Drosophila melanogaster: one gene and its partner. The protein of the gene in region 2 interacts with the protein of the main gene of each other region in a pairwise test. Each region holds a gene or a part of one and is shown on either strand. Other genes may lie near its edges.

Region 1 (2,946 bases), on a different chromosome or scaffold from region 2:
GCTTGAAAGCCAGCCATCGATAAGTCATCGACACCTGTTGAGATTTTGACAGGCATTTTCCTCCACACCAACGCACACCAACGCACACCACACCACACCACTACACACAGCACATTGTTGTAAAAATATTGTTGCCTAGTTTGCAGCACATTCAATGTGCATTGTGTCCATAATATTTTGTGATTTCAAATTGAAGCTCGTCGATGGGCACCTATTGTTCTCGTTTAGAGTGTAACACATATTTGTTTTGGTTTTGTTATGTCTGCTTTTGTTGAAAAGTGCTTGTCCATTGGAAATAATGCCTGTATTGTTACACTTCAAATGTATGTATCTCTTTAATATGTGAGAGCATAGTCTTTAAATAGTCATCAGCATTTTTTGTCTCAAATTTTTCGTGTTTACCCACACGAATTGGTCATGCAGATTGCATTTGTTAATTTCAACCGAATGGGGTTTCCTCGGAATTTTTTCGATCACCAAAAAAAAAATACAGTGTTTTTCGTGTGTGTGTTTTCGAATCAGACCAATGCACCAATCAATTATTGAATCATGAACAAAAAAAATATTTATTATGCATATAGTCCACATGTAGTTGTTGTTTCAACCATTTTCGCTCTAACCACGCCTCCTGGAATTGTTGTTCCTGCGCCTGTTGTTGTTGTTGGATGCCTTCTTTTTATTGTTGTTGTTGGACGCCCTCCTTTTGCGATTGTTGTTGCTGTTGGCCCTCTTCTTGTTGTTGTTGTTATTGTTGGCCTTCTTCCTATTGTTGCTAGCTCTCTTCTTGTTATTGTTAGCCTTCTTCCTATTGGCCCTCTTTTTAACAACTGGAGCTGTAGTAGGTGTATCATAATCCGTATCGGATCCAGAATCAGTATCATCATCGGAACCATCGTCCACATCGGAACTACTGCCAGAAGCATCATCTGAGGAACCGGAACTGTTCGTGGCACTGGACTCCGTGGTTGAGGTTACTATCGATCCGGATGCGGTTGTATTCTCATCGGAATCGGCGGATGAATCCGAATCGGCGGATGAATCCGAATCGGCATCCGAGTCCGTATCGGCACTCACAACCAGGGTAACGAAAAGCCCCAGGCACACAAAAAGCAACCATAACTTTGTCAACTTCATTTCGACACTATATTCTATTTGACTCTGAGGGATCCGATAATGCTATGTCGCAATTTATAGTAAAAGCTCCAGACCACGTTTTATTTACCCAAGCGAAGGCCAAAATTAAGTCAAATATCAAATCTCTCAGAACAAAAAAAAAATGGTTGAAAACAATAGAGCTGGTGATTGGTCTCCGCGATGACGGCAATTGGTTGGAAAAATGTGTATCTAATTGGCAAATGACAGGGTAACTGGAATGATCCTAGTTGAGTCTTGTCTATGTCTAACCATCGCCACAAGTAATAAAATTTGTTTACCTTAGTAAACGATTTGAGCAAAACTATTTGATTTGCTCACACAACTAGTACACGCAATTTTTCCACAACTCGATTCAGTCAAAAAAAAATAAATAAATAATAAACAAAATAATAAACAAAACCACGATCAATATGGAAGACTGCAACAGCTGCGGTTAAGTAAACTAAAGCTGGTGCTCGAGATAAGTTGGTTTAAGCCAACCCGCCGGTCCAAAAATGGAAAACATACCTTTCTATTCTGTAAATATTTGTGAAAGACAAGTTCGAGGCACCCGCACTGTCCTACACTTCACGAACATATTAATAATAATTTTTGATTCCATATATATTGAATTTAATATTAAAATCATTAAACAAATGGGCTTTAATTACAATGCGCAAACAATTTCAACAAGTTTATCATGATTCAGCATACCCTTAGCTGAATTATATTTGTATATCGCTTACTTTTAGTTTCTTCATTTTAAACCGTAGAAATTGTTATTTTTTTGTTGAGTGTATCTTAAATTGTTCGATGTGTCGATGGCAAAATGCAGTGGGTATATAAAGCGCATCACGCGGTATTGAATTCCAAAGTCAAGATGCGCTTGGAGTTGTTGGTTGTGTTATTGGTGGGGCTGGCTGCACTTGCCCCGTCAGGTTCTACATGCTGTAAAACTGAACCACCGAGATGCGAAACCGAACCACCGAGATGCGAAACCGAACCGCCAAGATGCGAAACCGAACCACCAAGATGCGAAACCACGCCACCCACATGCAAAACTGAGCCACCCACATGCAAAACTGAGCCACCCACATGCAGAACTGAGCCACCCACATGCAAAACTGAGCCACCCACATGCAGAACTGAGCCAGCCACATGCAAAACTGAGCCACCCACATGCAGAACTGAGCCACCCACATGCAAAACTGAGCCACCCACATGCAGAACTGAGCCACCCACATGCAGAACTGAGCCACCCACATGCAAAACTGAGCCACCCACATGCAGAACTGAGCCACCCACATGCAAAGCTGAGCCACCCACATGCAGAACTGAGCCACCCACATGCAAAACTGAGCCACCCAGTGAAAAGCACTGCACGAAACGCATCAAGCGACACCGCACAAAAAGAACCAAGCGATCGAAATCCACCAAAAAGATAGTACATCATCATAACCGTCCAGGAACGACACCAGAATCGGGATGTGGCTGTGGATCGAAAAACGAATCGGGCGGTGGAGGAAGCGGATGTATTTTGAAGGACCTGCTAACACCGAAGTGCCCCGATTCCAAATCGAAGTCTCAAGCTTCGTGCAAGCCTGCACCCAAGTGTAAATCCGACCCGAAACCGAAAGCCGCATCGAAAGCCACATCTAAGCCAAAGCCAAAGGCGTGTGATTCAGGCAAGAAGAACACCACCAAGAAACCGCGGAAGACTCAGCCACAAAAAGGTGGTTGCTAAACAGCAAACTTGACTCAAATGTCGTTGAATATGAATAAAATCACTTTTTTTTTTTTGAATATTATATT
Region 2 (3,399 bases):
ATGTTTCAATGTTCTCGGCAGTACAGTGCCAGATTATTTGATTTACTCACCTGAAACCACAATTAGTGCAAAAACAAGTTCCTTTTCTTGTTCAGGTTTAGTTACTCAAAATGTCTGAAGGATTTGTTTAAATGGGCATTAATCTACGACTCCTTTAAGATTTCGCATGCCACAGCAATTTAAAAAAGGGGTTCGGATCTGAAGGAAATAATCTGATGGAAAGAACACATTTTTCTCCGTTTTGTGCTTAGAATCGGCATTGATGGCAGAATGGCAATCTGGAAAATGACAACAATAAGGGTTGGCCCAGCCTAACGTACTTTACCTTTTGGCTGGCGGCATTTTGCTTATTTTCGTTTCCCTCAATTGCTGCCCAGTCTGCGGACGAAGTTCCCTGAAATGCAATTTTGTAGCGAGAAAATCCGATAAAAAATTTCTTCAGCCTTCAGAGATGGCGGCATTCTCTATGCGTCTGATCTGAGCAATTAATGGGCACAAAGAAGCAAATGTGGATTCGAATATTGTTAACAGAATATAACCCCAATCTTGAACTGCTTTCAAGCAGTTATGCAAAAAAAAAAAAGACCAAAAAACATCGATTCCCCCTGTCAGTCTCTATGTTATCCTTGGCTTTTTGAAACGTCTAAGAATATGATGACGTGCCGTCACCAAACCGCACTCTTTATATATGCACACATTCAGCGTAATTTTTATTCACATCCAATAGATTTAAGTATCCAGGGCTTGGGTGGCTCCATCACTTCGTGAACAGCAGCACATTTATGCACAGTTCAAAGACCAAAATGAATATTTTATTTGATTTGATTCCAGGCGGGCTGACTGCTGAGCTTGGCTGCAAGAAAAGCATTTTCGAGCGCTCAAGCTCTGGTATAATAAACTCCAGGGATAGGGCCAATTGTCTGCCGCCTTGGAATTGCGCGGATTCGCCGCTTGTCGGATAGAATATGTAGATGTGCGTGGGAATGCCTGTGGAAACGTCTTAAATGCTCTAATGCCCACAACGAAACCTTGCTCAACGCTGCAGGCATGCCTTCTCAAAAATACCTCCAAAGAAAGAGATCAATCTAATAATCTGATTAGTTGGTGCAGCGCTTATATTTCTATTGAACGGCCGAAGATTCTATCTTAAGGGACCAAGCCCCCACTTATCCCTGAAGCTGATTGATCAGGCGACGCTGCCTCACCAGCAGCTGCTCCATCCTGCGCCTCCTCTTTTCCTGGCGCTGTCTCCGCTCCTGGCGACGACGGCGCTCACGAGCCAGGCGACGACGGCGAGCACGTCTGCGCCTCCTGGCCTCCGCCGAGGAGGAGGAAGAGGAGGCAGTGGTCGTGGTGGATGCGGAGGAGGCAGTGGTGGTAGTGGTGGTGGCGGATGAAGCCGTGGTAGTGGTGGCAGAGGAGTCGGTGGATGTGGTCGCCGTCGAGGATGTAGATGTGCTGCTACTGCCCTCCTGAGCCAGGAGCAGACACAGGAGCACGCTGAGAAGTAGAGCGAATAGGAAGCGCATTTTGTTGTGTCTAATCTAATCTAATCAGACGGCCTTTTATACTCAATACGGGGTAACAATTAAACAAATATCATGTATCGGAAATCGGAAATGTGTGCACAGCCTATCCAGCTCGTCAATGTCTTGGGCTTGTAAGGTCAACAGAGTAAAAGAGTCGATCGATATATTATTGATAGTGAGCCGGGTTTAACTCGTTGAAAACGAGATAAAAAGGTAATATTATAACGCTTCTTACGCCTAATTATGTATGGCGACCACGTCACGTCTGAAGGAAATATTTGGTATAACCTATTTATGTACATTCACATCTTATCTGAGTAAAAATCGCAGCACTTGACGAGTTAAAGGTGTTTTATTTGTTCTTCATTTGAGCTTTGCGTACCCAATTAACAGTTTTGTGCTGTTGCATTTTGGCTTATATCCATTTAAGTTCTCCGAAATTAGAGATTTATTTTCCAAAAAAACAAATACGTGGTTTACATTATTTTTAAACCAAACACAACAAAGATGTGTATAATTATATTAATTTTATACCAGTTACCGATTTCAAAATTCGTCTCGATTTGAAACAGGCTACTCCTGGAATGAGACTAAACTAGATTTGTTGAAAAGTATGTAACAGGCGTTTCCGACCCTATTAATTATACATATGTATATGCTTGATCACTATTACTCCGTCTGTCCGAACGAATGTCTCGACCTCAGCAACTCTAAAAGCTAGAGAGTTGAGAACGTTGAACTCCCTCAAGCCGCTTAAATATGCCACTCCCACACGTTTTTGTGCTCCAATAAAGTAGAATTATCAGAATGTACAATCAAATGTTTTATTATCTTGGCGAACTTGAACAATGAAAGAATTTAGCTTTCACATATTTACAACAGCTTTTCCTAAATTGTCATAAGCCGAGTCTTTCCGAAGACCTTCATCCGCTCAGCTGGTTGATCTGTCGACGTTGATTCTCCAGTTGCTGGCGCAGCCTCTGAGTCCTGCGCTGCCTTCTGCGCTCCCTTCGTTGCCTCTCACGCGCCAGACGACGGCGACGGGCGCGCCTGCGCCTCCTGGCCTCCGCAGAGGAAGAGGATGAGGAGGAGGCAGTGGTCGTGGTGGATGCGGAAGAGGCAGTGGTGGTAGTGGTGGCGGACGAAGCCGTGGTAGTGGTGGCAGAGGAGTCGGTGGTTGTGGTCGTCGTCGAGGATGTAGATGTGCTGCTACTGCCCTCCTGGCTAAGCAGGAGGCATCCTAGGACGGAAAGAACAATTACGATCGAGAAGCGCATGCTGAATGTCTTTGACGCATTTGAGACGTTACGCATGTTTTTATAGCAAATTTGAATAATGGTGGTTTACCAAAAGCGTGTAAGCTAATAGGTCTGCTGGATTGTTAGCTTTAACTAAGGTAAATTTTGGTAATGTTTATTCAGATTGAGAAATTATGTGTGCCGCCATATAGTTTAAACGTTGCTCTTGAGTCTTAACACACATAATAATGTAATAGATTTACGGTAATGAGCGCGTTTCTCAACCAAGTTTCCGGGTTCAACATCATATAAATAGGCTATTCTCCAAATCATAAGATATAACTGCTTAGAATGCGATTCATATTTGTTCTGCTCTTGGCCCTTCTCGGCTGCCTCCTGTTTGCCCAGCAGGGCTGCGAAGCTACGGGAACGAGCACTGAAAGCTCCTCGGATAGTACCAGCGCCTCGGACACCTCCACTACCGCGTCCTCTTCCTCCGACACAACTGAAGCCTCAACGTCTTCCGACACCACCACAGTGGCCTCGTCTGCCACGACTACCACCACTTCTTCGTCCTCGTCCTCGTCGTCGTCCTCCAGCGCGGCCGCCCGTCGTCGCAGGGCCGCCGCCCG

The links.
Region 1: the proteins of CG14454 (region 2) and Pig1 interact in a two-hybrid assay, tested with the Drosophila melanogaster proteins (one large-scale study listed by BioGRID).

Annotation. Positions count from the first base shown.
Region 1 is NC_004354.4:3,248,100-3,251,045, forward strand, and holds Pig1 (Pre-intermoult gene 1), read right to left. Parts: upstream 1,191-2,946; 5' UTR 1,135-1,190; coding exon 616-1,134; 3' UTR 501-615; downstream 1-500. Other genes in the region: Sgs4 (salivary gland secretion 4), read left to right, coding at 2,015-2,878.
Region 2 is NT_037436.4:22,690,984-22,694,382, forward strand, and holds CG14454 (uncharacterized protein), read right to left. Parts: upstream 1,546-3,399; 5' UTR 1,530-1,545; coding exon 1,167-1,529; 3' UTR 691-1,166; downstream 1-690. Other genes in the region: CG12546 (uncharacterized protein), read right to left, coding at 2,453-2,806; CG14453 (uncharacterized protein), read left to right, coding at 3,119-3,399.